Tamandua tetradactyla: one gene and its partners. The protein of the gene in region 1 interacts with the protein of each later gene in a pairwise test. Links are inferred from orthologs where the notes say so. Each region holds a gene or a part of one and is shown on either strand. Other genes may lie near its edges.

Evidence for each region. The genes of interacting proteins can lie anywhere in the genome.
Region 2: the proteins of ZGPAT (region 1) and BEN domain-containing protein 5 interact in binary tests that used the Homo sapiens proteins (3 or more experiments, as listed by UniProt). The two-hybrid records come from large-scale screens. The link is inferred for Tamandua tetradactyla from reciprocal best matches to the Homo sapiens genes ZGPAT and BEND5.
Region 3: the proteins of ZGPAT (region 1) and CCDC57 interact in binary tests that used the Homo sapiens proteins (3 or more experiments, as listed by UniProt). The two-hybrid records come from large-scale screens. The link is inferred for Tamandua tetradactyla from reciprocal best matches to the Homo sapiens genes ZGPAT and CCDC57.

What each region holds. Positions count from the first base shown.
Region 1 is NC_135327.1:61,163,112-61,170,138, reverse strand, and holds the start of ZGPAT (zinc finger CCCH-type with G patch domain-containing protein), read right to left. Parts: upstream 3,010-7,027; 5' UTR 2,850-3,009; intron 2,177-2,849; 5' UTR 2,112-2,176; coding exon 1,525-2,111; intron 1,044-1,524; exon of another isoform or gene 939-1,043; intron 1-938. Other genes in the region: ARFRP1 (ADP-ribosylation factor-related protein 1), read left to right, coding at 4,098-4,190, 4,439-4,526, 4,693-4,775. UniProt on the Homo sapiens protein: Transcription repressor that specifically binds the 5'-GGAG[GA]A[GA]A-3' consensus sequence. Represses transcription by recruiting the chromatin multiprotein complex NuRD to target promoters.
Region 2 is NC_135328.1:172,554,228-172,561,441, reverse strand, and holds the start of BEN domain-containing protein 5, read right to left. Parts: upstream 3,011-7,214; 5' UTR 2,854-3,010; coding exon 2,820-2,853; intron 1-2,819. UniProt on the Homo sapiens protein: Acts as a transcriptional repressor.
Region 3 is NC_135332.1:74,526,334-74,533,880, forward strand, and holds the start of CCDC57 (coiled-coil domain-containing protein 57), read right to left. Parts: upstream 3,011-7,547; 5' UTR 2,955-3,010; coding exon 2,909-2,954; intron 1-2,908. UniProt on the Homo sapiens protein: Pleiotropic regulator of centriole duplication, mitosis, and ciliogenesis. Critical interface between centrosome and microtubule-mediated cellular processes. Centriole duplication protein required for recruitment of CEP63, CEP152, and PLK4 to the centrosome.

The sequences.
Region 1 (7,027 bases):
GTAAAGTAATCATGTTAAAACACTGAATGAAGCTGCATCTGAGCTATAGGGTTTTTTTTGTTTGTTTTTTACTATTATTACTACTTTTATTTCTTTTCTCTAATTAACATTTTATATCTTTTTCTGTTGTGTTTCTAGTTCCTCTAAACCGATGCAAATGTATTAAGAAACGATAAAAAAAAAAACAAAACTCTAGGAAACAGAAATAACAGAAGAGAGCGCTTTGTGACTCTAGAAAAGCTACTTAAATAAACTTTCTTCTAAAGGTTCAGGAAAATTAATTTCTCATAAAAGTGAGCAACAGAAAAGTACTGATGTTTATTCCACATAAAGCTACAAGAAAAAAGAGAAGAGAAAAACAATGAATGTTCACTAAAGAGGACTACTCAAAAAACAAAAAACAAAAAACCCCACAGAATGGTAGAATGCTCACCTCCATGCGGGAGACCAGAGTTCGATTCCCAGACCATGCACCCAAAAATTAAAAATTAAAAAAAAACAATGAAAGGACATCAAGAATACGATACAAAACTTTAAAGACTAGCATAAATCACAATTAGGAAAATTTAGAAATGAAATGACAGAATTTTTAAAAGAATTAGGAAGAAAAACTCCACTTTAGAAATAAAAACTGAATTAGAACATGCACAAGAGCAAATAAATATGACAAACAATGACTTAAGGGAAAAAAAGGAATTTTCTTAAAAAAAGAGGAATTTCTTAAAATTTTATCAAAAAGAAATGGAGATAAAAAAGACTGGTGAGAAAAAACAAAATTTAAAAAGAGAAAAAACTAAAAAAGCAAATAAAAAGATTGATAAAGAAGTCACAAATATTAAAAGACAAGTAAAGAACAATAAACAGAGATACCTAAACACATACTAAAAACTAATTAGAAAAAACTTTCCTGAGATAAAAAAGATCTGAAACTGCAGATTGTGCTCCCTCTGGCAGTACACACACTAAGGATTGGAATGACGAGAAGATTAGGAAGGCACCTGCGCACAGATGACATGCAAATTTGTGAAGCCGTTTCTATTTTTTAATAGGGTGGTATACAGGAACCTTGAATTTGGTGCATGACTCTTCTGTAAATCCTCAACTTCTCTGAACAAACAAAACCTTACATATTGAAAGGGCACTATGCTTCTAAGAATATGGATTCAGAATGATCCACAGCAAGATGTAGCCCAGAAAAACCACTGGAATTTAAAGAAAAAGTCCTTTGGGCACAAAGGTCAAAGGAGCATGTGATTTTAAAAAGATTAGATTATCATCAGTTGCCTAGACAGCAATGGGTGGCACAGCCAGATGCAGACTCACCACATAGGTCCAGGCCCACCTCCACCCCTTCCCAATTGAGTGACTCTGGGCAAATGACTCCCCCTGTCAAAAAAAAAAAAAAAGGAAAAGAAAAAGCTCTCTTCTTGCCAGTAACCTGGCCAGGACTGATTACAACCCTGACCTTCCCTGCATGCCCCTCATATCCTATAGCCATGGGACCCCAAGCACCAAGAGCTTTACCTGCAGTTCTCCTTGAATCGGCACTTCCCCTCCAGGAAAAACGGGCAGGGCTTCAGGGCCTTGTGCGTGGGGTAGAGATAGAGTACCCGGACAGCTGTGGAGCCGTCCTCTGTCTCCTCTGTGCCCACAATCATGGCGTTGTGATACTCCAAGGTGCCCCACGGACTGTAGTAGGGGGCGTTCACTTTTGTCCCACTTAACTCTTCCTCGTTGTCACTGTCCTTCCCCTCTTCCTCCTCTTGCCCAAGTCTTTTGGGTTCTGGCCCTGCCTCTCTTTTAGGAACAGTCTCCAATTCTGCCTCTGGGGCTGCTGGCACCTCTACTACCTCAGCAACAGCCTTCTGGAAAGCCATGTATTCAGCATCTTCCTGGGATGGGTGCACTTGATCCAGTGTGGCCAACAGCTTGCTCTTCCTGACAGACACCAGACTGGCCTCAGTTAGTTCAATCAGCTCTTTCAGGTCCCCTTGCAGCTGGCGCAAGTCTGCCTGCTCAGATGAATCCAGGTCAGCTCCCAGGGCCAGCTCCACCTGCTGCAGCTGGGCACGATAGGTCTGAAGAGCCGCCTCCAGGCTCTCCTCATCCATCCTATAGAAGGCTGGTTGGTTTTGGGTTTAGGGCAGGTGCGGGTCCCTGAGTCCTCGAGAGGAAGCTGCAGAAGCCAGAGTTGCAAGAAATCGAAGGCAGCTGAGCCTCAGGAGTCTGAGGCCCTCATTCTAAAGCAAACCCTGAAGGCTGCGGTGTACTGGACATGGGCTGTTAACCATGTTCTGTGCTGAAAGCTTTACACCGATGCCATAAAATACAACAGCCTGCCAAAAGGTGTACGGTGCGTCCTCCCTTTTCAAAGATGAGAACACAGGCTCAGAAAGCTTAAGGAACCCGCCCAAGGCATAGCTGGCCGGTGAAGACCTGGGGCCGGGCTCCGTAGCCGCTGTCCTCCCCAGTCCAGGTCTGCCTTTCCCTCTAAAGGCCTACCGACCTTTTGCTGTCACGCTTGATCCGGTTTCTCCGCGTGGTGTTTTGCATCTACTCTCAGCCCTGTGCTCAGGGCTCTCCCAAGCGGGGTGACCGGAGAATCTAAAAGCCTTTTCCCCTCGGGCCCGCCCCTGCCTACGCCCCCGACCCGACCCAGTCCTCCGACTCCCTCCGCCCAGTCCTCCTCAGAGTCGCCCCCCCATCCCTTGGGCTCTTTTCGGGCCCGACTCCATTCTCTGCCCAGACCCCTCAGGCTCCTACCACCCACCGCCGCTCGACCTCGGAACCGGGACCGGGACCGGACCCGGGCCCAGGCCCCGGCCGCTCCACCCGGGAAAAGCCCCCACCTTCTCTTCTAGGTCCGTTCTCCCCGCTGTTATCCAGCCGCCGCCATAAAGAGCCCCGCCGGCCTCACCGGCTACAGCCGGCAGCCCTGCTTCCGCCCCCGCAGCCGAACAGCACTTCCTCCCGAGCGCCGAGGCCGCCGGAAGTGCCCGGCGCGGGGGTTGCCGGGTGCGGCGCGCGGGGGCCGCCGGGGCTCTACGCGGCTCCGCCCTTCCTCTGGCGGCCGGGCCTCGTCCCAGCAGGCGCCGCGCGGGGTTAGGCTCGGGGTCAGCGCGCGTAGGTCCCGGCGGCAGCCGCAGCGGGTCCAAGGCCCGGGGCGGAGGCAGGTGGGCCAGGGACTGTATCGCCGCCGCCTGGAGCCCTCCTGAGGGGCCGCGGCCGCCCTCTGCCCCGAGCGGCGCGGCGCGGACGTGGGGGGTGAGGTCGCGGGAGGGGGCGCCCGCCCAAGGCGAGGGTGTCGCTCGTGGGAGCGTCTGTTAGGCTGTTTGCCCAAGAGTTTGGAAACTCGGTGTCCAAAGTGCGGGACTACCGGGAGACGGACTGTGGGCCTGGGGGGATCTCCTCCGCAGAAGTCTGCCCCCGGCCGGGCCCATCCCCTCTGCCCACCGCCACCTCTAGGTCCACCTCGGGTGGGCTGAGATCGCAGCCTCTCTTGTCGCTGCAAAGCCACCCCTGGAGCTTAGAGAATGGGGAGCCCCACCTCAAAGCCTTCGGTGGCTCCTGCTGCTTAGTGAATCCCTCCTTCTCACACATGCTCAATTTTAAGAACGATCTGGCTGTCCAGACTTGGATATCCAGTTTGGGCAAGTGTGTCCCTGTTCCCTGTGCACGAAGAGCTGAGCACAAGTGGAGCCTTAAGGGGAGGCGGGGCTCAGTGAGCAAGGGGAAGGGGGTGGGGTGAGGATGCAGGGGGGCCTGGAACCGAGTTCACAGTCACTGCTGTGAGTGGAATGGGAGTGGGAGGCAGGAGTGAAGAAGTAGGGGGTGGTCCAGGAAAAGCTGGTGGTGGTGGAGATGGAGAGAAGCCAGACAACTGGGAGAGATTATGGAGGCAGAGCCAGTGGGACTTAGAAATAAAGGGAGTTGGGGTGGGGAATCAGGAGCCACCCTTAAGATCCTGGTTGGAGCTGTCAGCAGGACAAATGGGTACCATTTACCAAGGTGGGGAAACCCGGGGGAGTAAGGAACGGAACGGGTCAAACCACCCCCATGTCTTACTGACTTATCTCTTGGGGTGTCCCAGGGGCAGAATGTATACGCTGCTTTCGGGCCTGTACAAGTACATGTTTCAGAAGGATGAGTACTGCATCCTGATCCTGGGCCTGGACAATGCTGGAAAGACGGTACACGCTTGTTTCTCTTTCCCGTCTCCCCCAGTGTTTCTTCCTTTGGGTTTCTACCTTCAGCTCTACATTCACCATCCAAATGGAATCCAAACCCTGTTAACGCTCACAGGAAGGTCACCCCTAATCTAAGAGTGGAGGTGCTGGCTTGTTTTTTTGAGGAAAGTTTCGAGAAGAGATAGTTGGGAAACGGGCTTGGCAAACTGCTCAGGTCCTTCATCTAACGCAGATCTGTCCTCCCTCCTCAGACCTTTCTGGAGCAGTCAAAAACGCGGTTTAACAAGAACTACAAAGGAATGAGTTTATCCAAGATCACAACCACTGTGGGCCTGAACAGTAAGCCCTTAGGGTATGGGTTTGAGTTGCTGGGGGCGCCAGGATGACCATAGCCGGGCTGGGCCCCCGTCAGGTAGCCCGTGGGGATTTGCTCTGTCAGCAGGGGAGCCAGGATGTGGGGCTTCCAGCGTCAAGATCACGAGCTTCATTCTTTCTCCTCTCCCAGTCGGCACTGTGGACGTGGGAAAAGCTCGTCTCATGTTCTGGGACCTGGGGGGACAGGAAGAACTGCAGTCTCTATGGGACAAGGTAAGGCTTTCTTCAGGGACTCAGGGGCACTCCTGACTGCCCCGCACGCCTTTTCTCTGAAGACAGTATCCATCGTTCCTTTCCTTCCCTCAGGAAGGCCCAGGACCCAGCCTTCTTTCTTTTTTCCCCCCAAAATTGAGGAAGGCCTGGGTTTCTTTCGGTTTAGAGATCTTGTGGCCAATCACCACAGGAAGCAGACAGCAGATGCCTAGGGCCCCATGAGGGTTGCAAAGCCTGTCGGGTGCTGAACTGCAGGGCCTGGGCTCTGGGTGTCCTCCAGTGGGCTCCAGCTCCCTCTCCTGTGTCCCCAGCCTAGGTCACCAGGGCCTGTTCCCCGGGGGTCTTCCCCATACAGGCACTGCCTCTTCCTTTGGCATGGGTTTTGGGCATTTCAAGTCCCACAGTGCAGGACTGAATCCACAAGGGGTGTAGAATCTTTCTTCAGATTTGCCTGGGGTCCAGCAGTGAGCAGGACAGATGCAGCCTCTTCCCTCAGTGGTCCCTTCCCCTCAGGTTGGTGGGGTTGGGGCAGATATGCCTAGTGCTCGTGTGGGGAGCTAAGGCCCAGGCACTGATTTCTGGTTTGACCCCCAGTGCCTGGCACACAGTCACCTTTGCCTGGGCTCCTTTAGAGGTGCCCCCTCCTGCCAGGAGAGCAGGGCAGCAGCTACCGCCTGGGCAGAGGGCACCGCTGCACTGTGGCCCCATGCATTGGACAGAGGCAGACGCCAGCCAAGGGCCTACCTTGTCTGAGCACCAGAGGCACATGGGGCTTATTTCCCCATACCACGCGGGTTCTCACTTAGGTGGAAGCAGGGTGTAGGGTGTGTATACTGGATGAACATCCCAGAAGGGCCAGGGAGATTGCTCAGCAGGAGCTTGGGGTTGAGAATTGCTCCTCATGGTTGACCCAGGTCAGGCCAGGCCGGCCAGGCCTTACATCACCACCTGGACCAGGCCCGGGAAGGGGGGACCTGAGCAAGGTTGCTCTTCGCAGCCTAAGCAGAGCCCAGAGGAGCCAACGACTAGGCTGTCCGCCACACATTTCCCACAGCTGGGCAGCAACGGGACAGCTCAGAAACTGCCAAAGGTCACTGTGCTCCATGCGGCTTTGCCCCTCCCCCACCTCCCGCTGGCCTCGCTTGCTCACCTGGTCTCATAGCTGGACCTGGGCAGCTGATGGGGTCCTGCTCCTGGTTACCAAGCCCCCCTCCTCTGCTTACAGTCTCAGAGAACCAAGTGGAACCCCCATATACCAACCACTCCCATGGGGCACAGCAGCCCTGCCTGCTGCCGCCAGTCAGGGTCAGTTACCATAGCCAGTAGCCTTGCTCCAAGGGCTGTGTAGCTACCTGAGGTGGTGACCCTCCAGCACCCTGGCACACTAGCCATCTTCCTTAAAGGCAGGAAGTTGTCTGCTTGGGCTGGCACAGCCCAGCTCTGGAGTCTCAGCGACCTGTATGGTGGTTTTCTTACAGGTTTGCCAAAAACTGCAAGCATCTGTTGCCACCACAGATGCCCTAGAATTATGGGGTCTGCCGGCTCCCAGGTCTTGCACAGCAAGGTGGCCTATGCATCCCCAGCAGGGCTTGCTTTGCTTCTGGTGGTCTTTTGTGGTTTCCTGTATGTTGGCTAGAGAAGTGACCTTGTGTAGGCCTTTCCTTGAGGCCACCAGATCCTGGGAGGCCCGTCAGGTGTTGAGTTTCTTTCTGGATTGGAAGGTAGAAGATGCCACCAGCTGCCATTTCCTTTGGCGTGTGGGCCTTGGCTTGTTAAACTCCTGCATCTTGTAGCATGGTGGTCAGCAGGCAGGGTGTGCGAGGTGTAGGGTTGGCGTGGGCGCTGAGGGGTCTGCAGGTGTCCCGATCTCTGGGCATTCATGGCTGGCCAGGGCCTGTCTGCCAGGGTTTGCCACTCCTGATGTTCTTTGGGTTGGAATAAAGCGGATGCCCCTGCCAGCAGCTGCACCACATGCTCTGTGCACATGCTGCACCTAGCTAGGGTCTGTTCCTCTTAATTCTCTTGTACAGAGTTGGGCTAGTGCAGTGAGTGGAGGTGTGAGGGCCACTGTCACTATATCTTTTAGGTCAGTGGTTCTCGAGAGGAGACAGTGGAGAGGTCAGGGATGCTGCTGGACTGGTCAGCTGTTCCCAGCAGTGTTGCCCCTCCCAGGTGTGGCTGGCGTTGAGGGCAAGGAATCTGCAGGTCCCCAGGGAGAGAGCCCAGCCTAGTGGGCTACTGGAGGCCCTGAC
Region 2 (7,214 bases), on another chromosome or scaffold:
TCAATTATTTCAATTAAGAGAAATGGGGGTGGGGAACTGTTATATTAATCATTGTATTGTCTAAGGTTTGTATTTATAAATGTATACAAAACATTTGGAATTTTTATATTCAAGCAGCAGAACTAAGAAAATATTACCTCTAATATTCACAACGACCCTGCAAATATAATCCCTATTATACAAATGAGGAAACTGAAGATCGTAAAAGTTGAGCCCAAGGTCCACATGCAGAAGTCATAGAACCAGGATTTAAACAAGAATATGAGCCCCAGTTCTTCCCACTTCACCTTTCTAGACCATGCTTAGTAGATATATATTTCCTGTAAGGGAGGAATTTTCATCATGGCTATGATTCCTTCAGTATATAATATGTCATAATTTCAAACAGAAAAACAAATAATGTATCTGGATAATGTTAAAATAGTATGGAAAACAAAAATCTTAAATTAATTCTTTGCAGATCTTGAACAAGTAGCTTAAACTCTCTGTGCCAAAACATCACAAATAAAGTAGAGGTAATACCTTTGAGAATTGTTATGAGGCTGAAGTGGATTAAAATATATAAAACACTTAGTACAATGTCTGTTATATAATAAAAATTCCATAAATGTTAGCTATTGCTATTGAGACAAGAAATCACCAGATGGCCATATTTTATACCACCCAGCCAGAACTGGGCCCCTAACTCAAAGGCAGTCAATCCTACACTGGCCTGCATCCATGACATGATCTGCTAGGAAAAGATGATATATGTTAATCAAATTCTCTTTTTGGAGTCTGAATTACAAAACAAAGATTGAGACAGTTAATAGTAGTTCAGACGCAAAATGAGCAAGCTTCTACCCTCATCAATTTCCTCTCATCAAGGTCACCAATGACCTCTTTGTTGCTAAATCTAATTTTTCAGGCTACATTTTAAATCACTCAGGAGCATTCAAAATGTTGGATATTCCATTTATCTTGAAATATTTTCTTGGTTGTTCTTTTACCTCTCAGGGTGTACCTTCTTAGTGTCTTTGGGAGGCGTTTAAATATTGCAGCCACTCAACACTTCATCCCAGGCCTCTGACATTCTCCCTCTGGGTGATTTCATCTACACCCATGGCTTGTAATCACCTCTATGCCAAAATCAATAGCTTAGATTTTTCTTGAAAACTCAACTGCCTTTTCAATCTCTCCACTTATTTAAATGTCTCAAAAATACCTCAAACTCCATTTGTCCAAAACCAAACTCTTGCTTTTCCTTCTCAAACTAGCCTACATCTCCTTCCAGTGCTCTCTGTCTTAATAATGGCACACCAACTGTCAAGTTACACAAATTAAAAAATTAGAAGTAATCCTTGATACTTCCTTCTCCCTCATCCCCATCTTTCAATAAATTCTATTATCTCCTCAATATTTCTCAATTCCTTCTCTCCTTCTCTACTACTACCTTCCAACAGGTCTACCAATATCCATTCTTGCATCCTCTGTGTTCACATCATGATCAGTTATTTTTTTTAAATAATTCTAACCATGCCATGCTCCCACAAAAAAGCCCATGACAGAAAGTGATCATGCAGGCATTGAGAGATAATAGTCCCTTGAGCCATTTCTGATGGCTTCATACAGTTTCCAGTTACAATCCTTATATAGCCTTACCATAACCAGCCCCCTACCCAAACCTCCAGGACTTGCGTAATTCAAGTGGGTCATTTTGCAACCACAATGCCAAATCAGGACACATATACAAGATTTGTATACCACTGCGACCACCACTATCACATATACTCCTAAAGCCACTGCTTTTCAACACATACACAAATGACATCCCTCTGTACTGAGGCTCTAGTTCTTCAGTCCCAATCCCCTTTTGGAAACAAACTCCCTCTCAAATTCACAGGACTGTGAAAAAACATTCCTCTCTTCTACAACCCTGTAAGACACATTAGGTCCCTTTATCTCCAAACCCAGCCATACCTACAAGGATCCCCTCAGGAATAGGATCCTGAATATCCCTATCAGTCTCCCTACCTCCTTCAAAACTTTCTTCCACCCACAAAGATGTGGTCATGCATTCCTTTTGTGAATCTGAATGACCTTCAAGATCACTGATCCTATATACACTCATACTGAGGCTTCAGCTTTCTTAGGTAGATTCCCAAAGGACTGGGGCTCTGGGGCTCTCCCAAGTCTCTTGTCCTTTTAAGACCCCATACCGGGACTTGCACATTTTCTCTGTGACCAGGGGAGATTCGAAGGACACTACACCTACCCAACACACACATACTCGGGGTTGAGTGAACCCCATTCCATGACACTGCCTTACATTAAGGTAACAAGCCCACCACATACACCTGCCTCCTCAGAATCAGAGCCCCCCTCCCCCAAAGTATACCCCATTAGGGATCCCTTCACACTCCCACAGGCTTGTGTAGACCCTCTCCATGAGGTAGCCTACCCCTGGAACTCCTCCCACCACAGGGACCCCTCACGATGGGGCTTTGTGCCTTCCCTAGGGTTCCTGACCTTTCTTAGCTCATACTCCCTCGGAAGTGTGTGTGTGTGTGTGTGTGTGTGTGTGTGTGTGTGTGTGTGTGTGTGTGTGTGTGTGAGCACGCACGCAGAAACACAAACACCTTCTCCGCCACCGGGACCCCTGAGTCTCTGCCCATCACTCAGAAAGGTATATGCCTCCCTTGACCCCTGACCTCCAGGTCACAGGCCTACTGCACTAAGGGTCCTTCTCAAGAATAGGGCCCTGCCTGAGTCCCCTGTCCCCTCAGGCCCAAGACAGCCATGCTGCCTCAGACATCCCTTGCTCTACCGCCCGCACAGACCTGCCTCGGGCGCCGTTAGGCTCCTCTCCGCCATTTTTGTTGTCCCTCCGCCTCAGACCCACGCGAAGACCGTAGGGCAGGGGGGAGCGGGCGGTGGGCTCAGCGGGCTGACAGGAGCTCTCTTAGGAAGACGCGGCGCGACGGTTGCCAGGGCAACGGCGGCAGGCTAGTCAGAGGCCCGCGAGCTGCTGGAAGTGAGGGGGCGGGCTGGGAGGGAGCGTGCGTACCAAGGCCCCGCCCCCGCGGCGCGAGTCTCCTTCCAGGACCAGGCGCCGCTCCTGCTAGGACTCTGCTAAGCGTCTACCCCGCAAGGGAGCCACCGTGTCCCAGCGTCTGAGCATGCTCAACTGCCTCTGGGGCGTCGGGACCGGGTCTGCTCGATGGCATTTTGTATGGTTTTCTGTGGGTTTTACAGAACTTTGGGAGCTGGGGACAGGTTTTTATTATTTTAAAACGTTTCTCCCCCAGGCATGCCTGGCCCTTATCAAGGTGCTGGGTGACTTTCGTCTTTAACTGAAATGCACTGAGTCACTACCTCTATACCCCTCTATGCTCAACACGCCCAGGCCCACAGAGTTCCTTCTCTTGCACCGCTCTCCAGCAGCACCAGCCCCCAATTCTAGAAAAGGCTTCTCTTTTTCTTGGTATAGCTAGAATACCCTTTCCCACCTTCCCGTGGCAAACTGCCATTATCCTCTTAAGACAGTTATGCCAAGCTCTAGCATAGGCCTTTTCTGACCTACTCTGTCCTCCCACAGTCACTGTGCATTACTCTGTCCTAGAGTTTACCATGCTATATGCATTATTCTCTCTTCTTCACAAAGTAGGTCCTCAGTAAATATTTCCTGTATGAAAAATGACTCCTTCAGTTCATTCCGGCACATTCCTGTCAGTTTTATTGAGCACCTAATTTTGCTACAAGTACCTTGCTAGGTAGACTCTTCTTAAGGAGCTCACAATGGAAAAGAGATAATGGCGCTGATGGAGGTTAACTAGCATTTAAAGTGTTATGGGATCGTAGACATGGAACTCTAAGCTGTAGAGGGTCAGGGAAAGGAGAGGAATTGTCAGTGAAGACTTCACAGAGAAATGGATACACTAACAGGTGTCAGCCAGGCAAAGGGGAGAAAGTGTGCCAAGCAGAGGGAGAAGCATGACCTGAGACACAGAAGTGTGGAAGTAAGGAACATCAGCAGCAAAACTACAAAACGTTCAATGTGGCTATCATACAGATCACATAGGCCAGTGTTGTCTCTAAAGAATTTGCCATTTAGTTAGGTAGTATCTTCATTTGGGTTCCTCAAAAGCAAAGCCTAAGTCAAGGACTTCGGTTCTGGTAATTTGTTTAGAAGATGTGATAGTTAGGACCTGGTGTCGAGTTGTCCAAGTGATGATGCCCAGTCATCTGGTCAGGCAAGCACTGGCCTAACCATTGTGTAAGGATATTTTGTGGCTGGTTGATAAACTAGAGGGCTGGTCTATTAAATCATCAGTCAGTTGATTACATGTGTGGTGATTACATCTGTGATCAACTAAGGCGTATCTCCCACCAATGAGATAATCCAATCAAATGAGGATTTTTTTTTTTTTTTTTTAAGACAGAAGAGATACCTTTTCACCATTTCTTCATCAGTGAGCCTCGCCTGTGGAGTTTGTCCAGACCCTTCACTGGAGCTGCCAGCATCACAGCCTGCCCTACGGATTTTGGACTCATCCATTCCCACGGTTGCATGAGACACCTTTATAAATCTCATATTTACAGGTATCTTCTCTTGGTTCTGTTTCTCTAGAGAACCCTGACTGATAAAGCTTGAAACTAGGAGTGGTTTTTGGAAAGAAAATCTTAAAAATGGATTTTTACAATTGTATTTATACTCAGGTTAGACTCAGAGGCACTATTGACTCTGTTTCCAATAATCAAGATGGCAGTCCATTGGGTGAATTGGTAAGAGAGATATGCAAAATATCACCATTAGATTCTGCTAATTGTATGCTTATATGAGCTAAGACTCTGGGTGAGAGTGTTTTTAACATCTTTATGTAGTTTTGTGGAATTAAAAGGTGTAATGATATTGGCTGTTTGTTGTTAGATATGCTAGATACAGTGATGAGGGAAAGGGATGAGCTTGAAGGATTCAAATTTGCAAATTAAGCACCATATGAATGATGTAAAAGTTTCCATGTGTATCCTGAAAGAAAATTTTTTTCCTATGGTCACACACTTGAGATCTCTGCAAACCAAATACAGAGCTTCTTTGTGCAAGTAGCAGATTATCATGTAAGCTTAAAATCTCAACATTGCAGGGTGTCTGCTGTTAAAGTAAGGACTTTAACTGGAAAAGAATGGGATCCTGAAATGTGGATGGGAATATATGGTTTGATAATGATGGCAATGGGGAGACGGAATCCCTGAAATCTGCTAAGCTTTTGCTAGATAGACCTGTAATGGACTACCCTGAGGGAAAAGCTTGCTGACCTTTACGCTGCCCTGAGGAAAACAACTTCCTGATCTCCAGTCTGCCCAGAGGAGTCTTCCATCTGACCTCCACCTAATGAGATTAACCCTTCAGTGCCTGCTAACCCTGAAACCACCTCCCCTGGGGAAACAGCCCTCACTCCTCTGTCTGGAGCAACTAATCCTACTCACCAGATGGAACAGCAATGGAATGCCTTATCCACAGTCGTGGTATTTCACACAGCATTGCTTCTAATCATGGAACCCACTTCACAGCAAATGAAGTGCAGGAATGGGCTTGTGCTCATGGAATTCTCTGGTCTTACCATGTTCGCCATCATCCAGAGTTACCTGGGTTGATAGAATTGTGGAATGACTCTTTGAAGACCCCATTATGGGCCAACTATGTGGCAATACCTTGCAGGGCTTGGGCAGTGTTCTTCAGTAGGCTGTGTACTCTGAATCAGCATCAATTCTGTGGTGCTGTTTCTCCCATAGCCAGAATTCATGGGTCAAGGAATCCAGGGGAGGAAATAGGAGTGGCACTACTCACGATCACCCCTAGTGATCCACTAGAAAAATTTTTGTTTCATGTCCCTGAAACCTTAAGCTCTGCTGATCTACAGGTCTTAGTTCCTAAAGGAGGAGTGCTCCTACCAGGAGGCATAACAATGATTCCATTGAACTGAAAGTTAAGACTGCCTCTGGCCACATTGGGTTTCTCATGCCACTGAATCAACAGGCACAAAAAAGTATTACTGATCTGTCTGAAGTGATTGACCCTGACTATCCAGGGGAAATAGGACTGCAGCTACACAACGGAAGTAAAGAAGAGTTTTCCTGGAATACAGGAGATCCCTAGGGCGTCTCTTAGTAGTACCATGCCCTGTGATTAAAGTCAATGGAAAACTGCAACAACCCAATCCAGGAAGTTCTACCAATGGCCCAGAAACTTCAGGAATGAAGATTTGGGTCAACCCACCTGGTAAAGAACCGCAACTAGCTGAAGTGCTTGCTGTGGGTAAAGGGAACAGGGAATGGATAGTATAAAATGGTAGTGATAAATATGAACCACAACCACATGACCAGTTATAGAAACGAGGACTATGATTTTATGAATATTTCCTCCCTATTTTGCTATGAGTATGTTTGCATTTGTACATAAGCAAATACCTTGTTTTCCTCTTATCATAGGACATAAGTTGTACTGTTCATTTATAGTATTTAAGCCATAGGAAATGAAGTTTAAGTTACCTAAGGACTTGCAGCCTATTCTGGGGAGACATAGTGCATTTCCGTTTATGCGAAGGACAGTCAAGTATTGTTAGATGAAATGTGTCTGTTATTGTGTTCTATTTGGAAATTAAGCGTGTTTCAAGATGACGTACATAGCTGCCAGGTTGACAAGGGGTGGACTGTGATGGTTAGGTTCAGGTGTCAACTTGGCTGAGTAGTGATGCCCAGTGGTCTGGTCAGGCAAGCACTGGCCTGACCATTACTGTAAAGATATTTCATGGCTAGTTGATAAACCAGAAGGCTGTTATATTAAATCATCAGCCAGTTTATTTTCTGGGGCTGATTACATCTGTGATCAACTAAAGTGTGTCTCCCACCAATGAGATAATCCAAACAGTTGAAGACCCTTTTAAGGGAGAAGAGAAACCTTTTCACTGCTTCTTTAGTCAGCGGACCTCTCCTGTGGAGTTTGTCTAGACCCTTCATTGGAAGCACCAGTTTCACAGCCTGTCCTGTGGGTTTTAGACTCTTCCATTCCCACAGTTGCATGAGATACCTTTATAAATTTCATATTTACAGATCTCTCTTGTTGGTTCTGTTTCACTAGAGAACCCTGACTAATGAAGAAGGTAACCCCAGGAAATAAAAGTGAAGTGGGGAGAGTGTAAGACAGAAAGGAAAAAGCCCAGAAAGTCTGTGTAATT
Region 3 (7,547 bases), on another chromosome or scaffold:
TCAACAAAACAGAAAATGACAAGTGCTGGAGAGGATGCGGTGAAAGAGGCACACTTATCCACTGTTGGTGGGAAAGTCAAATGGTGCAACCACTGTGGAAGGCAGTTTGGCGGTTCCTCAAAAAGCTGAATATAGAATTGCCATACGACCCAGCAATACCATTGCTGGGAATCTACTCAAAGGAATTAAGGGCAAAAACTCAAACGGACATTTGCACACCAATGTTTATAGCAGCGTTATTTACAATTGCAAAGAGATGGAAACAGCGAAAATGTCCATCAACAGACGAGTGGCTAAACAAACTGTGGTATACACATACGATGGAATATTATGCAGCTTTAAGGCAGGATAAACTTATGAAGCATGTAATAACATGGATGGACCTAGAGAACATTATGCTGAGTGAGTCTAGCCAAAAACTAAAAGACAAATACTGTATGGTCCCAATGATGTGAATCGACACTCGAGAATAAACTTGGAATATGTCATTGGTAACAGAGTTCAGCAGGAGTTAGAAACAGGGTAAGATAATGGGTAATTGGAGCTGATGGGATACAGACTGTGCAATAGGACTAGATACAAAAACTCAAAAATGGACAGCACAATAATACCTAATTGTAAAGTAATCATGTTAAAACACTGAATGAAGCTGCATCCGAGCTATAGGTTTTTGTTTTGTTTTGTTTTGTTTTGTTTTGTTCTTACTATTATTACTTTTATTTTTTTTCTCTATATTAACATTCTGTATCTTTTTCGGTTATATTGCTAGTTCTTCTAAACCGATGCAAATGTACTAAGAAATGATGATCATGCATCTATGTGATGATGTTAAGAATTAGTGATTGCATATGCAGAATGGTATAATTTCTAAAAAAAAAAAAAAAAAAAGGACAGCACAATACTACCTAATTGTAATGTAATTATGTTAAAACACTGAATGAAGCTGCATCTGAGCTATAGTTGTTTTTTTTCTTATATATTTTTGTATTTTTTATTTTTATTTTTTCTCTATATTATCATTTTATTTCTTTTTCTGTTGTCTTGCTATTTTTCTAAATCGATGCATATGTACTAAGAAATGATGATCATACATCTATGTGATGATATTAAGAATTACTGATTGCATATGTAGAATGGAATGATTTCTAAATGTTGTGTTAATTTTTTTTAATTAATAAAAAAATAATAATGCAATCAAGCTGTATAATTAAAAAACTTATACTTATTAATCCCCCCAAATGAAACTTATTAATCTACGTAAATGAAAAGGTGGGGGTTTCCTGAATAAACAAAGTGATCCCTCTTTTAAATGGAAAAAATAAAAAATAAAATAAATAAATAAACAATCATGAAAGAGTATAGCCCATGGAGTAAAAATATATGAGTGCATACTAACATGGAAAAAAAAACTAAATAAATAGATAAGGGAAGGAGAAAGGGAAGTTTTTCCTTACAATAAAATTCCAACTAATAAATGTGGAAGGAATGATGGAAATAGAAAACCACCACTTCGCAAATACCACATTTCAGGCAAGACTCACCTAAGGATGCTAACACCAGTTGTAGAAATGATATTTACAGGTCTCAACGTATCCCTGCAAACAAACACGAGACACTTCTTATTTGCAAGGTTAAAATAGTTACTTTACAATTGAGAAACCTGGCAGACACCACTTTTATCAAGACAGTAAAGGGACAACCCTGCATCACCAGCCTGAAGGATACAACTTCAATTTTGAGGTTTTTCTTTCCAAAAATACAGAACTTTACATTAACCCTGGGGAAACATCAGACAAACTCCATTTGCAAGGCATTCGATAAAATACCTGGCTAGAACCCTTCAAAAACGTCAAGGTCATTGTTAGGTCGGGGGAATACGGGAGGGCTCAATGGCTGGACTCATGAAGTCACTTCGGAACCGGAGGTGAACTGTTACAACAAAGATCTTTACGCAGCAAACATCGGCTCACTCATTGCTCCACGGACATCTGACCGCCCGCTGCTCAGCCCACTAGCATAATACTCCTTAGTTTAATGTGCCGCCCCTTTCATGTCATCACCTAACCCCTGCCCTTAAAAACTGCACTCGCCAAAGCCGTGCGCGGACTCACCTCACTCCAACTTGGGTTCGGTGAGCTCTGCCCGAGAGCGCAGCCAATAAACCACGCTCACTTAAAATCATTTCGTCTACCTTCCTTTCTCTCAAAAACCTCATATCTTAAAACCTTTCAGTCATGAAAGAAAGCCCAAGGAACTGACCCAGATTAAAGAACAACAACAAAAGGAGGCAGCGGAATGGGGTGCAGGATCCCGGACCGTTACTGCACTCTGCCAATGCTGATGTCCGGGTTTGTTTTGGGGAACCTGGTAAAAGGGACAGGCGAGTTCTCTGTACTGTTTTTGCACCTTTAAAAAACCAAACAAACGAAAAAATCAACCCGGGGAGCCGGAGCGCCGAGGTTCGAATCCCTCCTTCCTGGCTGGGGGCCGCGGGGAGGTGTCCCTTCTCGGAGCCCGGCTCATCAGGCCCCAGGCCCAGCCATGGAAGCAGAGCCCGAGAGAGGGGCCTGGCGCCCCGGGAGGGTCGTGCCCGGTCGTCCCGCCTCACCGCGTCAACGCAGGGAGGAGTGCCGGCGGTGCCGCGGGGAGAAAGACGGCGAGGCGCCTCGCGCGGGCCAAGCCCGTCCCAGCAGTTTGAGAACGATCACCCCCATTCGGCGGGTGACGGCAAGTCCTCGGGTTCGGCCCGAGGGGATCAAGCGCTGAGGCGCCAACGCCGGATTTCCACGGAAAGTCACGAGCCGCGAGGACCGGCCGGGGCCGAGAGGGGGGCGGGTCGGCGCCCTGCGCCTCTCCCCACCGCGCCCTCCCAAGTTTCCCGCCCGGGGTCCCGCGACCCGGGTCCTACCCGGAATGCCAGCCCCGAGCGGCTCCCAGCGTCGCCGCGTCGCCATAGCAATCCCGTCGGCCCGCCCAGCCCAGGGCGCGCTCGGTACAGCGCTCGGGTCCCGCCGAGGGGAAACTTAGGTCCGGGCCCCGGGTTCCGGCGCCCTCCCGCGCGCAGGCGCCGACGAGTCCGTGGGGGAGCGGGGCGCAGTCGACCAGGAGGGGGCCTATGGGGAGGGGCCGAACCCAACCCTGCCGGGTTCTTCGGGCCGTGGAACCTCCGACACTTCGCTGCAGGCCCCGGCCTCTCCACCTACCCCTGGGCGAGCCCGGGAAGGAGCTCCGGGGCTCGGGGGCTCGGCCGCCGGGAGAGCCCGGGGGCTACACTCGCTCCCTCCGCCAGGTCCCCCGGCGGCGGCTCTCCTAACCCCAAGGGGAGCTTATGAGCTTTCCGAGCCGGGTGGGGTGCACAAGGACTGCTCATGGGTGGAAGGAGGGCTGCACGCGGGGGGTCCTGGGGGAAGGAGGGCTGCACGGGGCGGGGGTCCTGGGGGAAGGAGGGCTGCACGGGGCGGGGGTCCTGGGGGAAGGAGGGCTGCACACGTGGGGTCCTGAGGAAGGAGGGCTGCACGCGGGGGGGGCCTGGGGGAAGGAGGGCTGCACGGGTGGGGGCCTGGGGAAGGAGGGTTGCACGCGTGGGGTCCTGGGGGAAGGAGGGCTGCACGCGGGGTGTCCTGGGGGAAGGAGAGCTGCACGCGTGGGGTCCTGGGGGAAGGAGGGGTGCACGGGGTGGGGGCCTGGGGAAGGAGGACTGCACGGGGTGGGGGCCTGGGGAAGGAGGACTGCACGGGGCTGCACGCGGGGGGGGGGGGGCCTGGGGGAAGGAGGGCTGCACGGGTGGGGGCCTGGGGAAGGAGGGCTGCACGCGGTGGGGGGCCTGGGGGAAGGAGGGCTGCACGGGTGGGGGCCTGGGGGAAGGAGGGCTGCACGCGGGGGGGACCTGGGGGAAGGAGGGCTGCACACGGGGGCGGCCTGGGGGAAGGAGGGCTGTACCTGGGGCTCCTGGAGGGCGTAAGAGCTGCACCTAAGACGGGGGGCGGGACTGCTCCTGTGAAGGGGCGTTTACCTTGGGGTACCAGGCACTGCGCTAGGGGCGGGTGGCTTCTGTGGCCGGTAGGGGATTGTCTTGGCCTCGTCGGAGAAGCGGGACTGGGTCCAAGGGGACTGCGGGAACCCGACCCTCTCGCTGCTCCCGCCTGGGGCAGCGGCCCGCAGGCTCCCGGGAGGGCCCCTTCCTCTGGGCTTCCCCTCGAGAAGCTCAGCTCTCCCCCACCGCAGGATTCATTCCCCCGCAGCTCGACTCCTTCGCCTGCCTGGCGGTGGGGTTTCTCAAAAGGGGCGCGCGTTTTCTTCTTCGGTCTATGATAGGCAGACCGCGGCGCAGCCAGGACGGAAGCCTGCGCTTGCCGTCTGGGTCCGCACTCCCGCAGGGGTGCTGGTGGGGACTCCGGGGGGCTGCACCTCTCCCCTTTCCCGTCTCCCCTGCCCCACCACCATTGCTGCACCTAAACCACTCGCTACCCGCCCAAGGCCCTGCACCTGGGGGCCCTGCCCGAGCCTTGCCTCTGCCTCCTCCTTCTCTGTCCCCAGCCCTCAGGCCTCTCTCCTCTTGCCCTCGGTTCTCCACTGCCCGCCACCCCTCCCGTTGCCTACTCTGTCTCCTCAGCATGAGGATGGGGGGAGGTGTTTTTTGACTCCTTAGGACTCGGAATTCTGTGACAATAGGGCACACGCCCTTGACTGACTCTCCCTGCTGCCCCTGCTCTCCAGAAAACAGGGCTGGGGTTGAACAACTAAAGGCCAAGTATTTGGTCTGGCTCTCGGATAAGACATAGGGCAAAGAATGCCTACATGGCCTGGGGAGGAGGGGGAGGCTGCCTACTAGGGTGCCAGGGTGCAGCCCCATGCCCATCCTCCAGGGCGAAGATGGCCCCCAGCCTGGTTTTGGGGACGGAGACTGCTGGGCGCTGGGTGCTGGGGAGTGGATCACACTGGCCCAGCATGGGGTTGGGGCATAAACAGGTCCCCAGGTGCAGGGGAGAGCAGGCAGCATCCCTGTGCGCCCCTGTGTGATGGGGTGCCTGACAAGCCACAACATAGGGAAACATGCTGGCTGTGGCACGCTCGCACCATCAGCCTCGTGGCAAAGGCCTGAGATGCTGCAGGGACCAAGAAGGAGCCCAAGGGTTCAGCAGGTCCCCAGTTGTGGAGTTGGCAGTGAGTTCTCTTCCCAGCCTGAAGTGGGATGGAGGCCTGGGCCTAGCCACCCCTTGGGAAATTGCAGGGGTGGGGGAGGGTCTAAGACAAGCCTGGACATCCTAAATATCCCCAGCAGAAGTCCAAGGAGGCCCCTCCCAGCATCTCCCCAGGAGGCAACAGGGAGCAGAGGGTGCTAGTCCTGAGTTGGGAAATTATCAGGGCGGGCAGGAGCTCAGGGATAGCCTAGGGCCTGCTTTGCCCAGACCCCCCACTTGGGCTCCCCTGCAGCTGGGCCAGCCTCTGCAGAGCCCCCATCAGCGGAAGATACAAAGAGATTGGCCTGGGGCTGAGTAGAGGTGTGGGTCTAGGGGAAACCCCGGCCCCTCTAGGCCCCAGACGAATGGGGAAGGGCAGGCAGCGGTGCCACCCCCACCGCCAGGTTGCAGGGAGCTGGCTCTCGGGTGCTTTTGGCTGGACCTCATGGCCAGTAGCCCCTTGTTCCACTCCCTGGGCCCCGCCCACCCACATCAGCTCTGCCAGGGCCCCGAGTCCCTGCACTTCTGGCTGCTCAGACCTCACCACCCTGAGCACCCTCCCAGGACCAAGCCCTACTGCACCTCCCAGGGTCCCCCAGCTCCCCATCAGGGCCCTGCAGCCCTGATTTCTCACCTCTCTCTCTGGGGTTTCTATAGTATCTCTCTTGCCAGTCACTCATGCACCCCAAGATCCCCTTAAATACCAACTGGAGGATGACGCCTCCTGCCTGGGACCCCCAGCCTCTGGGGACGTGCCACCCTCCCATACTGTCTCCATCCCAGAGTGGACAGCTCTTTTTTAGGGGGGGGGTGTCTTTGAGCCCCCATAGCTTGAAGATGGTCCTTCCTCTGAGCCCTGTGGCACCCCCACCCCATTTCCCTATCCACACCCCGCAGCTAGGTAGCCATTTAGTCCCTGGCCGGAGCTTCCTGTTCATCTCCTCCACCTGGTTCACAGGTGCCCCCCGGGCTATGCCTGAGGGTGGCGGCTTCAGAGCCCCTCTCAGCAAGAAGGAACCTGTGCCAGGGGCTAAGGTGGGGAATGGGTGAGGGTGGGGCTGCTGATGGGCATGGACTTATTTTGGGGATAATGGAAATGTTCTAAAATTGCGTGATAGTTGTACAATGCCATGAATACACTAAAACCCATCCAACTGTGCAGTTTAAATGGGCAACTTGTACGGCTGTGAGAAGTACATCATGAAGCTGTTATTAGAAAAACGGACCCATCTCCCACCTCAACAGCCCCAAGGCCTCAGCCCTCCACCAGCCGAGGAGGGGTACAAGAACAGGGAGTGTCCGCACAACCTCTGCAGGCGGGCGTGGGGCGCAGAGGGGTTCCCGATTCTGCCAAGAGGAGCACACCGGCCAAAGGGGGGGGGGGGCGCGTGGCTTTCTTCCACTTTTCTGAAATTTCCAATCCTTCTACAATAGCCATCTGGAAAAGAGGACTATCCTGAGCCTCCCTCCACAGCTGCAGGAAAGCTAAGGGTCAGGGCAGCCTGGGGCTCCCTTTGGGGAAGAAGCCAGGTCAGGGGCACAGCCTGCGATGGCCCTCCTGTGAGATCCCTGGGAGAGGAGGCTGCGGCCGGCTGGGGTGGGCTCACCCTGAGGTGAGGGAGGGGGCCCTGCCTGGCCCTGGCAGGTTAAATTCTTGCAAAGGTGGGTTTGGTTTGTGAAAATTCAGCAGTTTGTGCACATGGACGACAGACCTCCCCACAGCCATCCTCTGTGCTGTGTTCTAGAACTTGCCCCCCTTCCAGGTCAGAGAGGTCAGGGAATGGGCCGAGGTTGCACAGCCAGGGCAGAGCTGGTCCTGCCTGCACAGGGCCGACACTGCCAGTGGCAGACTGGTTCCGCCAGCAGGGAAGGGCAGGAGGAGGGCAGAGAGGCCGTCACCAGGGGCTGGGTTAGGGGCTGGGGCTGTCCCAGCATCCAGCCTGACCCCGAGGGACCCGGGAAGGGCAGCTTGGATTAACCGGGGAGAGGAGCACAGGTGCTGCGAGGGCCCCACGGCCCGGTTCTCCCCGAGTTTGGCTGCTGAGGGGTCCAGCCTCCAGGCTACATGGGGGTCCCAGAGGGTCCGGGCTTGGGGGACAAGGGCTGAGAGCGGGGCCCAGCCAGACGCCTGATCTCAGGGCCTGAGGACACGCCCTGTGCTGGGCCATGGGGACGGGAGGTGAGAGGGTGGCCTGCTGCCACCTGTGTCTGGGTTTCTGCTCCTGGGGTGCCTCCAGCAGGAGGGGCAGTGGGTGCTGACTAGGAGGCAAGTCCCCGGGGGTCCAGGGAAGGGGGACCCCAAAGGGGAGGTCCATGGGGAGAGCCCTCCCACCCCGAGAGCCGCCATGGCCCCTGCCGCCCAGAAAA